Oreochromis niloticus: one gene and its partner. The protein of the gene in region 1 interacts with the protein of each later gene in a biochemical or structural test. Links are inferred from orthologs where the notes say so. Each region holds a gene or a part of one and is shown on either strand. Other genes may lie near its edges.

The links.
Region 2: the proteins of cav1 (region 1) and ptgs2b form a complex in vitro, tested with the Homo sapiens proteins (2 studies listed by BioGRID). The link is inferred for Oreochromis niloticus from reciprocal best matches to the Homo sapiens genes CAV1 and PTGS2.

The regions. Positions count from the first base shown.
Region 1 is NC_031972.2:41,353,761-41,361,905, reverse strand, and holds the start of cav1 (caveolin-1), read left to right. Parts: upstream 1-4,862; 5' UTR 4,863-5,152; coding exon 5,153-5,188; intron 5,189-6,158; coding exon 6,159-6,326; intron 6,327-8,145. UniProt on the Homo sapiens protein: May act as a scaffolding protein within caveolar membranes. Forms a stable heterooligomeric complex with CAV2 that targets to lipid rafts and drives caveolae formation. Mediates the recruitment of CAVIN proteins (CAVIN1/2/3/4) to the caveolae.
Region 2 is NC_031981.2:2,447,065-2,454,718, forward strand, and holds the start of ptgs2b (prostaglandin G/H synthase 2), read right to left. Parts: upstream 3,093-7,654; 5' UTR 3,032-3,092; coding exon 2,944-3,031; intron 2,733-2,943; coding exon 2,616-2,732; intron 2,517-2,615; coding exon 2,373-2,516; intron 2,234-2,372; coding exon 2,090-2,233; intron 1,821-2,089; coding exon 1,639-1,820; intron 1,547-1,638; coding exon 1,463-1,546; intron 1,369-1,462; coding exon 1,122-1,368; intron 750-1,121; coding exon 463-749; intron 354-462; coding exon 206-353; intron 1-205. Other genes in the region: pla2g4ab (cytosolic phospholipase A2), read left to right, coding at 6,094-6,117, 7,228-7,309, 7,489-7,637. UniProt on the Homo sapiens protein: Dual cyclooxygenase and peroxidase in the biosynthesis pathway of prostanoids, a class of C20 oxylipins mainly derived from arachidonate ((5Z,8Z,11Z,14Z)-eicosatetraenoate, AA, C20:4(n-6)), with a particular role in the inflammatory response.

The DNA.
Region 1 (8,145 bases):
AATACCTGATTAGCATTCCAACTAAGGAAACACTAGGTCATTTGCTGCCATTTTGACTGATCTTCAGAGCTTTAGTTTATAATCTTACACTACCAAGCAGTGAGAGATGGGTATACATTTCCAGCTATACCTCCTGTTTGGTGCCTGGGGATGAGAATGTTCATTTTGTTGCTTGGTTAGTTGGTTTTACTGTTTGAAGTCTGAAAAACTTGACAGCAAGCTAAAAACGCCTGTATACCTCTCACATACTGTATTATCTCACTGTTGTGGCTCATGTTATAAACAGATGCTACATCCAGGTGACACTGACCAACATTTCCACATATTTGAGTTTCTGCAGTCCTTTGTAGTCTTGTGACAAATATCAGAATTTTTAAGTAGATGCTATAGTTTCATTAGAAGCTAGTCGCTAACGTTGTAGTCTCTTGTTGGAGATAGTAAAACGGGTTCATCCGAAATGGACACACAACAAAACTTAAACTTGTTCAGTGCAATTAAGTTTATAGCAGATGATAATTCAGATTTCTCAAGGAAGATGGATCAGTTGAAATAAAAGCTACATTGGCATGTACTGGTGGTTGCACTGCAGGCTAACCTGCTGAACCTTTAAATCAAAAATCTGAACGCTGTATGATGCAATGCTTTGTTTCAATGCATTTTGTTGGCTTTGTGTTCAGCTCTTGGATAACCTTTAGAGTAGAGTTGTACAACTGAAAGTGGAAGACAGTTGTGTGCAGCAGTAGCATTAAACCACCACGTTTCATCTGGGCTTTTTATTCTAGCGCAGGCTTTATATTCATTAAAGACAAAAAGGTTATAATACTGTAAGATATTCACTTGTCACTAAAGTAAAACTACTTTTAACAGTAATCATGCTACTTTTATGAGTTTGACTTTAATTTTTCTGGTTACTGTTTTACACAATATTGACACATTTTGGAATGAAACTCTTATTTTAACAATAAATATGTCCTTCATGACGAAAATAAAGGTCTTTTTTCCTTAAGGTAATTCTTCTGTGTGTGGTTTCTTCTTTCTGTCACAGAAGATGAGTGTGGCTGGGATGTGCAGGTGAGTGCCAAAATGGTCTCATAAATCACTTTGCTGAGATTTCATAACACACTTTCCTATACAAAGATGAGCTGTGCGTTGATGGAACATGACCTGAGGCGTTGGCTGTTAGACTTGCACGCCTGCATGGCATTAACATTCATAATGCTATGCAGAAGTTTTTTGTTTGTTTGTTTTTTTATGAAGAGTATTCTCTTATCCAGACATTCATGATGTTCCCCTTTGACCAAATGAAGAGACTCGAACACAGTTCTCTCTTAAACTCTGTCCATCTACAGCTGAGTTTTTAAATTAAATATTTTGAGGTGCAAGTTGATCTGTTGTGTCTGGCATTTCTCTTTTTGTCTGGTAAATTCCTTCAGCTAGCCAATCACAGCCCAGCCTGAAACAGAACGCTGTATTATTGTGTAATTACAAGGAAATAAAAGGAACGTGCACTGAAATTGTTTTCTGGTGTGTTTCAGCAACCAGTGCCTAAAACAAGCCAAAGAGGTTCTTCACTTTGACCTTTTGACCTCCAACTCTTGTTCTTGGTGGATTAAATCAACCCAGAACATAAGCAGCGTAAAGATAGATAAGCACTGATGCTCATATTCACAACTACAACCACTTATTGTATTCGTTTGGACTGTGGAAGGAAGCCAGAGCACCTAGAAGAAGATCCATAGGGACATGGAGTTGAACATGCATACTGCACACAGAAAAGCCCCATCTGGCTGTTGGATTTGAACCCAGGACCTTCGTGCTCTGAGGTAATGGTGCTAAGCACCACACCACTGTTGCTGCCCTATGCGTATGATGCAATGTAAAAATGTCATTTCATATATGTTTGAAAAAGCAATAATTAAAAAAATGATCCTGCATTGACCTGATGCCCTTATGGCTATTTTTATTCTCCTATCACAGTTAACCCCGTTCTGATACTCAAGAATTTCTATTACTATTGTTTCCATCAAATTTTGCGCAAATGCAAATTATAGTAAGTTTGCTTGTGATTTCTTAGCAATCGACACTAATGAGTAATGAACCCAGTTGCTGTTCCATATCCTCATGACTTTTACCTCTGGCTCTGGTACCTGATGAGTTGTTTGAGATTCTGTCCTCTCAGTGTTCTGAGTGGCAATTAAGTGTTTTTAATATTCTTCGTATCATCTGAAATTTGCCACAGTTCACAATGTTTTTTGCACCTCAGCTTACATAAACAAAGTCATGCTAGCGCATAATGTGCAATCTCATTTGCACAAATGTTTCTTGTAAATTTGCTAATATTTTCCGCAGTGTTAGTAGCAGTTTGTGTAAGCTTCTCTTCCAGGCTTCAGCAAAGTAACATCTTTGTTTGAAGCAGGTGCTCATTTGGTTATTTTGATCTCACTTCGGTGCCACACCCAGTGAACTCAAGGAGGCTAACCAGGTGTTTATTCATAGAATAGCTTTCTAAAAAAAAAAAGCCAAAAAAAAGCATTAGAGTAGTTCAGAATAAATGAAAGCAAGAGGAAAAAACTGAAGTCTACAAAACCTTCATTGGTGCACTCTTTTATCTTAACATTATGCGCCAAAAAAGCATTAGTGCTTCAAGTTTTTAAAGATAATTTTATTTGGTGTCTTGTGTGACTTTATACATCTGCACTTGACTATAGTTGTATTAAACTGGAACCAACACAGTCTTGTATCCCTACATGTTCAAATGTGTCCACTTGAACTCATTTCCACTTGAATTTATTTAAGAATTTTATACACCTGCTTATTGAAATTTTGAGTAAAACAATCAAATTGTCCCTGGTGAGTTTGGTCTAAGGTATTTATTCATTACCATACAGATTTGAGCATTTATGCATTACTTTTAGCCTTTTCAACAATTTAGACTTATGCTTATACTATTTAACTTCTAAATGCAGTTTAAACATTACTGAAATATTTTCTGCTTACAATATATATTTGTCATGGTTCTGGGTCTGTGACCCAGCTTTCTGAGTTTTGCCGTGTTTTGAGTTTTCTGTGAGCTCGTTTTGTTTTGGATTTTGAGATACAGTTTATGTTCTAGCTCTGCATCTAGTCCTTTCAGCATAATGTTTCCTTGTGCTTCTTAGTTTCCCTTTGTTTCCAGTCTGTGTTTCTCATAAGATTATGTCATCTTTTGTTATCATCTTTTGTGTTCCCTTTCTCCTCAGTCAGTCATGTCTCTGCATTTATCTCCTGCCGCTGTGTGAAGTTCACGTGTGTTGGTCTCAGTGTTTGTTGCTTCCTGTTTTATTCTGATAGTCACTCATCTCCTCTAGGTTGTGTTATTTTTGCTTCCCATTGTCTCCTTAGATTCCATTCAGCTGTGTTCCCTGGTGTTTCCTATCTCCATAATTACCTGGTGTGTATGTTGCCTGACTTTCCCTTTGTCTTCTGCCAAACTGTGTGTTTCTTCCTCCTGTGTCTCAAAGTTAGGTTTCTCTCTTTGTTCATTCTTCGTGTTACGATTCTTAGCAATAAAGCTGCTTTTGAGTTTTACATCTGGCTTTCTGAGTCCTGTGTTTGTGTCCAACCCTGCCTGCCACACAGCAATATTTTCTCCGCTATTATGTTCAACTAATAATTTTTCAGTAATGGTTAGGTCTTGTAATAATTCATCAATAGCTTTTGGCCTATAGTTTAATCATTCATCACTTTATCTGCTTCTACTGTGTGGAGATACTATTAGTTATTACTGTTATTAATAGAATTGTTTAATTACGAGAAAATATTCATCCAGTTTTCCCAATTACTCATCAGCTTTAATCATTTCTGCCTCCCTTGTTTATAAATAACTTTCAATGAATTAAAAATGGTTTTAATTTTTATTAATTTGTATTATTTTCTTTCTTACTCCTTAAGTTCATTCGTGTTGCTATCACAAACAAATGCTCACCATTTTTGTTTGTAATAGTTTATTTGCACTACAATCATCAATAAACAATTGAAATTAAGTTCCTGGAGATAGAGTAGATAAAGGCTGACTTGTTTGTCCCAATTCAACAAAAGTTTGGCTATGACAGCGTCAACTTCTGGGTTTTCTCATAAAGTCCTACAGTATAACTGATCCAGTGTCATAGCAAAGTATTGAAATTAAATTACAGAATAATTACAGAATAAAGATAGTAAATGAATAGCCCAGAGTTAATAAGAAATAAGGTGCTTCTCAAAATAAACAGCAAAGAGGAGTTCCTCTTCCGTTAACTGAGATAAGCTTTCACACTGAGGAAGGCAAGAGCTGACATCTCTGTGCATGTCGCTCTAAACCTAAAAGCAAATGAGAGCTTTGAAAAATGTGAAAACAACTTCATCATCGTGCCAACCCGTTTCTTTTATTGACACGCCAATCAGACGCACCTAAAATGTGTTTCTCTCGCAGTCCCTCTGGCTGAAAACAGCAGGGTGCCAGCTGGCGTCTCTCCACGATGAGCTGACACAAGAATGTAAACAGACCAGAGTGGCCAGCACGACTTCACAACCTGATGAAGCTGACACCTTGAAAAACTGGGTTCACTAACCAAAATATAAATGTGATCTTATGAAGCAGCTGATGACAGGCGTGATTTTAGATGTGCTGAAATAGCTGAACTATATATTTCTTTCTTCCCTCTATCCATTATAACCGCTTGGATTTTTTCCCCCGTAGGCTAAGGTATGGCAAGTGTCCACACCTTGCCAGGTTCAATTAACTCCCACGTTTCACTGAACAAAACACTTATTATACTCTGCTGTGATCCCTAAATAAGAAATTCCATGCCGGCTACAAACACCCTTTCAGTCTGAGATCACGTCAGTCTCTCCTCCAGCCGAGCAGGTTCCAGGGTGGCTCTCCTGTCTGCTCACTGGTGACTACCCAGCTGCGCTCTGCGGTATCCGAGGAAACACTGGAGGTTTCCCCGTACGCGCTTGTGCATTGAATTTTAGTCACGTCCAACAAAAAGGGCAGGAATAACTTCACTATACAGGACTCTGAGAGAAAAGACCCCGTCCTCCCAGTTTGCATCCACGCCTCCCTCTCTGCTTCCTATATTATCTTTTTTTTTGTCTGTTTCAACGTGCTAATCTCTCCAAACGTGAGGACAGCATGACAGGAGGACTGAAGGACGGCGAGACAGAAGAGGTACAGTATAGCTCTCAGCTATAGTTCTTTTAATTTTTGGTTGTTTGTTTGTAGCTGACATTTACTTTTCTTCCAGGAGCTGATTACCCCCCCTCAAAAAAAAAAAAAAAAAAAAAAAAAAAAAAAAAATGCGTTCACGAGGGAAAAATGAATGCGCTATGTTTCAGTCCTTATCTTGCGCTCTGGCACCCAGTCATGAGCACTTCTCCCACACAGGCTAAGAGAATGACAAGGTCGATGCAGTTTACATTAGAATGTGGGTGTGAGGATTTTACCTGCTAAGTCCTCTTTCAGCACAGTAACCGATTATTTACGCACAAACATTTAAAGTGTACATTTCAATGCGTTTAAAAAAGGAGGAAACAAATCCAGTTTTTACCGTAAAATTCTGAATTTCAGTCACAAATCTTCCCTGTCCTTTAATACCAACTGAGATCGTGTGGTGTGCGTAATAATATAAGGTGCTTGCCTCGTAGGATTGAGGAGGATCATAAGCGCTAAAGGGGTCTTTACGTATTTTTAAAGGATAAAAACACAAGTCCAGTAAGTTATTGCATACTTAATGTGAACATATTACAAATGACATTGCAAATATAACTGAATTCGTGATTTTTCTTTTACTTTCTAAATATATATTTTTGGTGTAGGAAGAGTATTAATTGGAAATTCTTTCATATTTAAAAATAACGCCTTTGCACCTTTCTTAAAAGTGTTTCATTGTCATGGGTAGACTACACGTTGAATCAACTGTATGTCATGTTAACATACTGGATTAGTGTCTGGGTGGTGAGGACCCCTTGCGGCTGGATGAAGGGGTGTGGTACTTTACTTTCTATTCACTTAAACCCATCCCTGTTTGTGGGGAAGCCTGGTAACTTGCAGCTCCAGTCGCTCTCTCTCTCAGCGCGCTACACACTATTCCTTCTCCTCTTCACCCTCTTCTCCTTCTGTCTCCCCCGGATCCTTGCAGGAGTTTCTGCATTCGCCGTTTATCCGAAAACAAGGGAACATATATAAACCCAACAACAAAGACATGGACAACGACAGTCTCAACGAGAAAACGATGGAGGATGTCCACACCAAAGAGATCGACCTGGTCAACCGGGATCCCAAACACATAAACGACGACGTTGTTAAGGTGAGTTAAACCTCAAAATTGGTAACTTGTGAGATTCATGTTTTTTCGTCCATGGCAACCGAAACCACCTGTTGCCGAGTTTACACAGGGCTTAGCTGTATGACAGGCGCTGTAAACTGAAATAATCTCTGATAAACGATGTCCATTTTATTTCTATGAGCTGTCAAACAGGTTATCTGCGCGTCGGACACGCATGCAGTTCTTTTGCGCACCTTTGCTATGCTCCGTGCAAGTGTTACCACTCAGTGTCTTCCCCTATTAGGAAGAAGCTTTGCAAACGTATTAAAGATCATTGAGCGGCGGCGATACAATGGCATGCAGTGCCCTTCTGCACATTTGTTTGTGGAGTGGGTTTGAAACGTGAACGTCCCAACTTCGCTCCAACAGAGGAAACATAACCAATTTCCTGTTGTTGGAACACACATTTCCCACAGTCCTCCCTGCACACGCCTGTCTAATGGGAAAGTAGAATTCTGTACATAACAGAGAAGCCTGGTCGGATAAATACTCAGTATTTATTTTTGTTAAAAGGATTTAGCACAGGGAGAGATGTTATAGCGGCAAAGGAGTGGTGCGCTGCAAGCCACCTGACTCATCTGTGTGGGAGAGAGGAGCTGCAGCCGTGTGCGCCCGGCGGTGCTCCTCTCCAGCTGGTGCATCTGGTTACATCAGAGTGGGGTCAAGCAGCTCCCTGCGTGTTCAGGAAGGGTCAGATCTTTGAAATGCCTGAACTCTGCTTTGTTAAAACAGGGAAACACCCAAGTGGGCGATTAGTCTGAGGGGATCCCTCACCACTCCTTATCCTCCCTTCTTTCCTCCCATTCTGCCACTGCCCCCTCCGTTTCCTCCCCGCATGCCTGTAGTTGCGTCAGAGAAGTGAGTCCATTTGTTTCTTTTTCTTGGCGAATACAAGGTTTTCAGTAGAAATGAGTGCCCATCGCTGCTGAATTAACTAATCAGACCATAACTACTGAACATAACCTTTCTCTTTAAAAAAATACATACATGTGGTAAAGTTTCATCCCCTGCCAAATTGACTGATGAAAACATACTGACAGAGCATTTTGATTAAAACAACTATAATGCACATATACAAGGAATGCATTAAAAATGTTGTGCTCATTTAATTTTCTGTTATTACATGACACTCATTTCACATACAACCTGCCCAAAAAAGTACATTTTGTCTTCCATTTCTCGTTAAATATTTGAAAACACTTCGTTTTTATGGAATTTATCACTGTCTGAGAGGCATGTGTGTCACTGCCAGTTTGTGCATTTTTCCCATATGACGCACAAGTCTACATAAAATGTGCTATGAACATGATGAATTTCCATTTTTGTACGAGAAAGGAAGCTTTTTCAAAATATTTGTTGCTGGGTTTGGAAAGAAAAAGTCTCTTATTCTCTAGTTTTTCTGGTTGCTGCTTCTATCCCAACGTCTTCCACCACTCTCTGGCTGCTCTCTCCCTGCTCTCCTCCATTGTGACAGTGAGTCAGACTCTCCTTCCAGTCTCAGAATAGAATGCAGCTTCACGATTGTCCCACCCCTCGCTAATCAAGCCAACAGACTGCTGCTGAAATGACCTGACAACACATGTGCGTACACTGTAAAAATGAACATGCTATAGGCAGCATTTAACGTGAGAAGCCTGAAACCTTCAGCTTTTAACAAGCGGTAGTAAACATCTATTTACAGTTTCTTTTGCATTTTAGTTGCTTTATATTGCCCAGGAAAAAACTCTTTGATTTAATTTGTTAATTGAATTAACATCTACAGAAAAATGAAAAAACTAAAACAAAATCAAACCACGAAACC
Region 2 (7,654 bases), on another chromosome or scaffold:
ATTTCCTCAATATCAGGTAAACTATTGCATAAACTGTATTCTGCAGCCTACGGGTTTTTCAGTCACACTTTATGATAATAAGAATCATCGCGCTGCAAAGATATTAATCTAGCAATAGCTAGGCCTGAGACAGCAATTACAACAACCTGTTTTTGACACATTTTCAGCATACAGGTATTTTCAAGAAGTGCTGAATTTGTCTCACCTGTCAGGTCTTCGAAAGACGTGTAGGGCTTCATGGAGAATCGTTTCCTGTAGGCGTTAAGGGACTGGTAACGCATTTGTCTGCTGTTCTCTATGGACTTAATGGCCACATACAAGATGGGTCCGGGGACATTTCGACCACCAGCAACCTAAATTACAAAGAAGCACAAATGAAATTTCAATTCTGCATCCCTAAAGCAACGCTGGTCTTGTATGTTTCAGTCTAACTGCTGCTGCGGGAGCTTAAAGAGTTCTTACCCGTCCGGCAATCTGATTGGTGAACGACTCCACCAGGTTGCTGATGCCGTGCTCAGTCACGACAGAGGTGTTGAAGACAAACTGCTTGTAGCTGTAATCTGTCTCCTCAATGTGGAAACTATCAGGCATCAGAGGGTGCCAGTGATAAAGGGTGTTGAACTCGGATGCAATGCGGTTCTGGTACTGGAAGCGCTGGTTAAAGAGCAGCTCAGGGTCAAACTTCAGTTTGAAGTGATAGCCACTGAGATGCTGCACGTAGTCCTCAATCACGATTTTGATGGTCTCACCTGCCAGATGAGAAATGTGACGGTTTATACAATGAAGACACTCTAAATGCTAAAAGCCACTCTGTGCTTTAAAATAAATCGTGCTTATTGATTGATTGATTTGCATGTCTGTAGGTTGGGTAAGCACAAAGTGGATAGTAAAACACATTTCCTCTTTCTGATGTTGACAAGAAATTCTCAAGTCTTTCAGTAAATCAGGTTCCTGAAATGAAATGCTCCACTGTGTGCAACAGGGTCATTAGGAGGTGAAAACTAAGAAGTAAAACTTCCTTTTTTTAAAGAAAAATCCCCTGCTAACGATATTATTATTAGCTTTTTAATAAAAAATTTCCAACTACGTTACAGCTGGTATCTGGACTTCTTTTAACTTACCGATTAGGATGAGCCGTGCGGTCTGGAAGAGTCTTTCGTCATCCCAGTATGGGTGGACCTCTTTCAGCACATCGCACACACGGTTGTGTTCGCGGAGCCAGATGGTGGCGTACATCATCAGACCAGGGACCAGGCCGAATGCCTCGTGGCCGACAGCGAAGCGGTGAGAATCTGGGACGTGAGGGGGGTAATGCATCTCGACACCCACTTCCTTAACTGTCGGGGGGTACATCTCTCCATCAAGCATCTGCAGGGTTACACAAAAGAGGAAACCGCTGTGAGAAACGCACGTGAGCTGGTCTCTTTGACGCCTCGAGTACAGCTATCTTTTTCCCCCATACCTGATATTTCAGCTTGCCATCCTTAAAGAGTCTCAGCTTGTGCTGCTTCTCCAGGTTGTCACCGTAGATGTGGTTGAGGTCCACCTGAAAGTGTAAGACACGCCAATTAAAAACTGCGTCGCATTAAAATGAGTTTGCTTTTCAAAAACCGAGATCTTCAGACCCGCTCCACTTACCCCATGACCCTTAGCAACAGTGAAAGCAGGCCCTCTCTTCATGTCAGATTTGAAGAACTGGTGGGTGAAGTGCTGTGCGAAGAAGGCAAACATCAAACTGGTGCCCTGCGGGTCTGGTATAAACTGTCTCCTCATTAAGAGCTTCTCAGCCAGAACTTTAACATCAGGTAGCTCCTTTTTGCCTGGAAGAATAAGAAGACTTCACTGAGCACATAACACAATGATAGGAAAATCACAGCTCTTTGGGTCTGTTTCATACTTCTGACGCAAAAAATAACTTGATCTCTTTGGTTTGGGCTTGTAGGGGGAGGTTTTTCTGTGTTGCCTCATCTAAGAGGAAAACTAATTCCAATTTGCGCGCTTCCTATGATGTAATTCGACAAAGACGGTTTTGTTCAGTATCTTAAGAATCTCAGAAAACTGGTTTTCCAAAGGTAGACAGTGTACTCACCTACTACTCCCATAGGGGTTGGGCAATCCTGCGGCACAGGGGGGAGGGAGCGTGTATAGTAGGAAAGGTTGGAGTAGGCTTCCCAGCTCTTATAGCCGTAATCAGCATTATAAGTTGGAGGACTGTCAATCAAGTGGGATCGGGCTAGAGAAAGGAAAACCCATATTAGTCCTTCATTTAGTATAAACACTACAACAAGTTGCTGCGTAAATTGTTTAATGTACTGTGAAAAACTTTCCAGTCCACTTTTTTCATTTTTGCCTTCGGGCAGAGAGAGACTTACATGTCAGCACATATCTCATGATGACATCCCTGAGGAATGAGATGCTGTTGACGATGTTCCAGAAACCCTTGAAGTGGGTCAGGATGTAGTGGACTGTGTTGGGTGTTGGCTTCAGAGACACTTTGATCCAGGTGAAGAATTCAGCTGTAAGGGACAAAGAGAGCACGTGAATCAAGCCATCAAGTCACCACCAGAAATGCACCTTCATTTTTGTTTCACTCCAAGCGCGATGTTCACACTTACGTGTTGTGCAGTTTTGCCCATAGTACCCCGTGCGTGTGCAGTCACACTCGTATTCTTCTGAGCCCAGTGGTGAGCAGACACCCCTGTTCTGGCATGGCTCTGAGCAACATGGGTTAACTGTAACAGATAAGGTTGGACACTTACTATCTGTTTAATAAAAAAATAATTATTCAGTTCTCAAGAAGAATAAGAAGAAGATCTTATTTGGCATGACAATAATACTAATAGAAAGAAATCACGACTTCTAAACTGTTGCTGTGATTTGGGCTGTATCAATAAAATAAAATGGAAAAACTGTAAGAAATAATCTGCAGTTTCCTCAGCTTACCAGTTTCGCCGACAAGAAAGCACAGGGCCAACAGGAAAAACAGCAAAGTGAGTTTGTTCATGCTCCGAAGACTCCGCTTTTGTTTCATGTCTGCTCTCCCACTCGCGCGCGACGATGGTGAAATTTTGAATGTCCACAGCCAGGATGAGGCTTTTATAACACGGTGCTCCTCCTACCACCCCACCCACAAACTGTGACAAAAGTGATTTTTTGGTTTATTTTATTATATTAATGTGTTTGCTTATATTAGTGAGCAGGGTTTATGAAGGGGCTGTATATAAAATACATAAATCACCTGTTTTGCGAGTGTCTTTATGACTCTGGGTTACTGTACCCACACTATAATCGTTTCATTCCTTTTTGTCCACTTAAAATATCTTTATAGAACCAATATGTGATACGTGTTGTAATTTCTGATGCACTCTTGGCCACATCACTCTTTAAAAGACATTTTTAATGACAATGAGACTTTTAGCCGGATCAAAGACGGATATATAAAAACCACTTTGCTAAAAAGTGAATGCAGAACATTCCTTTTTGCGTCAAAATAACTTTATATCTTTCAAGAGAGTTAAGTTTGACGTCTGTTATAGGACAACAAGTAACTTACAACAGTTTAAATGTAGGCAATCCTTTTATTTTACTTTATTTATTTTTTTATTTTTTATTTTTTTTGAGGAAATACCGGAAATCATTTTTGGAAGAAACAAGTTTTCTTATCTACGGAATATTTATTTTCTATCCTCACTCCTTCAGTGCTACAGCAGGTAAATTAACTAATTGTATGCGTCTTTTGGGGTTTTTTTGTCGCCATTAAAACGCCACGCTGTGATTTTAATTAAAGTCTAATAATATTTACTGGTTTATATAACGTATTACCACGACACGCTTGGGGTTTTTTTGATATCTTTAGCCTCTACAAATCGTATGAACAAACATGGAGAAATGATAAGTAAAAATACTCGAGTACTCTTTGATTGATATTAAAAAAAATACAAGTTTGAGAATCTTTCCCGGAGATGTTTAATAAAAGTGAACATATAAAACTCTTTTTTTTTTCATTGAATTTCACTGAATTAAATGAATCATCACCTAAACCAGTAAAAAGTCGCATGGCACCTCCGTTTAAACGTTCATTTCATTCAGAAACTTTTTCAACCACAGATGCCACCTTGCGGTTGATGATCGTGCATATTTGGATCAAGTCTCAAAATCGGAGTCAGTCTGACTGCTACTCGGAAATTTCCTATTAAAAGAATCTTGACCATCTTTTTTTAAAACCAGCATTTAAACCCCGCTATATTTTTATTGTCTTCCGGTAGTTTTGTTTTTTTCTCTCGATGCAAACGTAATAAGCTACGATACTGCTCACTGCCGGGTACGGTAGCGCCTCCTCTCCACCTCCCGAGCTATTGGTGTTATCGACATGAGACATTTTTCTGGATTTGTGAGTTGATAGCATGCGCCTGTTAAGGTACGTGGATATTTCCTTTCCTTTTTAGGCACATTGATGTGTTTTTTCAAACGGGTTTGGGCGCAGTTTAAAGGAGGAGGTCTGCGCCTTTGCTCCTAATGGGTTAAACAGCCAAGGCTTAAATTTTACGCGACGCCGAAGACAAGGAAACTCACAGGCCAGTTTAAATAGGACCGATCACTGCAGGGATACACAAGTAAAACTGAATAAAACGGAACTTTTGCGAATTATTATTATGTTTATTCTACCTTCATAGATATTTTATATCATGTGTCATGTTTATATAAATGCAAATTCATAGTATCCACCACATCTTTACTGCCTTAGAAGGACTAACATTACTCAGCATCGCATGTAGCGCACTCATAACATCATCAATCCTTGTTTGATCTGCCCTTAATCTGCCGGGCTAATAAGAATAATGTAAAGCCTCTTAGCAGTGCCTAATGCTAAGTTTTGCGTGAAGCCTCTAATCCGTATAAGAATTAAATTGCAATGACTCCTCGGCGTAATCTTTCTCTGGAGACACGCACAGTGATTCACTGAAGTGAGTCTTCCGACCTGCTCCTTGTGTGGCTCAGGTGGGAGCACACTCGCCCAGGAGGAGCCTGACTGTGCTCCGGTGAAAGCCACAGCTGCGGCAGCTGTTTTGCATTATAGACCGTCGCTGCAAGTCTCTTTCGCGTTCTGCATCCTCATATGAAAATTTGCTGCCACGCGGCGCTTTGCTGAAGCTGGCACACTTGCAGGGCTCTGTAGCCTGCATGCGCCCATTGTATGCAGCAGCGGAACAAGGGCAGAGTGAACTGGCACCGTCCGAAGTTGGACCACTGATGCAAAGTACGTGACCGCTTCTGTGAACACACAGACGCTCTACGTGCTCTCAGTCCTCTCAGTAATTACACACTTTGGTGAGCAGCAGAGAAAAGGCTGGTGACCTTCATATGCTATCACTTTTACACTCGCACTCACACACATAGACATACACATATCTATGCAAATTTCTTATCACGATATGGTGTTCAGACATCACAAAGAGAAGGCGTTCGCGTTGCTAAAAATAGCCACCTTGCCACCTATTCTGCAAATGCGCACTAAGCTTTACATTTTGTCGTCCAGCATGTTGCATTTATTCAGGGAAGACCCTCCTCCCTTTACTGGCATATTTTCTCTCGCTCTCTTAACACATGCTTGTGGTGAACACACACACACACACACACACACACACACACACACACCCCATTTCTATTGGCCCAGTCCTCTTATCGGGATTTTGTGGCTCAGCACACTTCCTTTTACCCCTGCCAAGATGTAAAAGACTTCACTGGTATTTGCGAAGCGACTTATTTTTAAAAATTCCAATGCACTATAAAAAAAGTGTTTTGTTTAGGAAAGGCATCCTTTCAAGAGATATTGTAATATGTCCATTTGCTGCAACTCTGGCTAAAACTAAAGCTGTAAATCGCGGTAATGATGTTAGTATTTTGTTGTCGTTTGCATCACAGTTTTAATAGTAACATAATATTCTTTTTTCAGCCCGTTCAAACTCTAACCCTTTGTTTGCACTTCTTTGTTTCATATTTCAGGCTCTCGGTGCTGCAGTTTGTGACAGATATGTTCTCTTGACCTAAAGTTCACATCTTGACGAAGGCTTCCCTGCGAGTTGCTCACCTCACATGACAATGGCTTCCAATATAATTGTGAGTGTCGACACAGTGTGTGTTTACATGACTGTAAATAAAACTGAGGCCAAAACAAAAGTGGACGGTTTCTTTGGCATCAACCGTGACACAAATAATTCTGTGGAAGTTCTTAGTTTACTGGTATTAAAAAAATTCCCTCTTATCGCAAGCCACAGCCTTGGGTGTAAGCGCAACAATGAGCGTGTCAACGTCAAGGCCATTTTCATTTCCATGTTGGTGGAAGTCAAGGTTGAAAGGGTTGTTTTAAAAGAAAAATATGCATATTGTTTGATCAGTGTGACGTCTGAGTTTTTATCACGTAATTCCAGTTAAATTTCATTTATTTAGTACCATAATCATAAATCATAAAATAATTAAGCTCACAGCGTTGTAGAGGAAAAACTGAACAAGCGGCCTTTTAACAAGAAGGGGCGAGAGGGGAGCTGCAAAAAAGTCTCACAGCACTTCCTGTTTTACAGATCTGCAAATCGTCGTTGAAACTATTCGTCTTTTGGGTTTTTAAAAATAATTTAAGAGTGTGTAAAAGGCTGCCAGAAAGAGGAATCTTAAATAGTCACAATATCAAACTGCACTGCAACACGCAGAAATTCAAAACAACATCTGTTCTGTGAGATTGGAGAGATCTAATATCTAGAAATGACAAAGGGAACACTGTTGGGACCTTCAAGTAGTCGTATTTGAACAGTGTCCAATACTTTAACTTTCATTTCAGTGTGCTACCAAACTTTCAGGGATACGACAATGTAGCACAAGGGTAACTGAGGTGAAAGGGTTGCTGTAAAATATATAAAGGGTTTACAGTACGGTCCCATTAAATGCTCATCTACAGTATTTATTAGAGTCACAGTATTTGGGAAAGGGCTACAAATTTTGCAGTACTGTCAAAATATAAGGAGAAAGCTGTCGTAGCACAGTGTGAACACAGCTGGGAAGCGTATCCTTAACTGGAGAGTTTCACAGGGGAATGGCACTCTGTGTCGACCTGCCAAAAAACCCAGATGTTCTCATGTTCTGGATGTGTTCATTTTTTGCTCTCAACATGGTTGATGTGATTTTTTTCTCATGAAGCAATGAAGTGAGGCTGAACTCTGAATGTCCAAATTGCAGGTGGAGCAGCAGTTTTCTCACAAATTCACAGTGACTGTAGTTCGAGCTCAGAACGTCACCAAGGGAGCGCTGGGCGACCTGCGTAAGTGCTTATATAATTTTTTCCTTACAGTAACATATTACCATGCTTTTACTTCATATTGTTGGAATGTAATCCATGTAAATTTACAGTAAAAGAAATACAAAAGCACTTGATGATGGTTATTTTGAGTTTGGTTTTCAGCTGTGTAGTAACCCTGTTGAACTTGTTTGTGCGCCCAGTGGACACTCCAGACCCATATGTGGAGCTTTTCATCCCGACGGCCCCTGAAAGCAGAAAGAGGACCAAGCACATAGACAACGACATCAACCCAAAATGGAACGAGACCTTTCATTTCATTTTAGACCCCAACCAGCACAACGTTCTGGAGGTTAGACCTGCATTTAC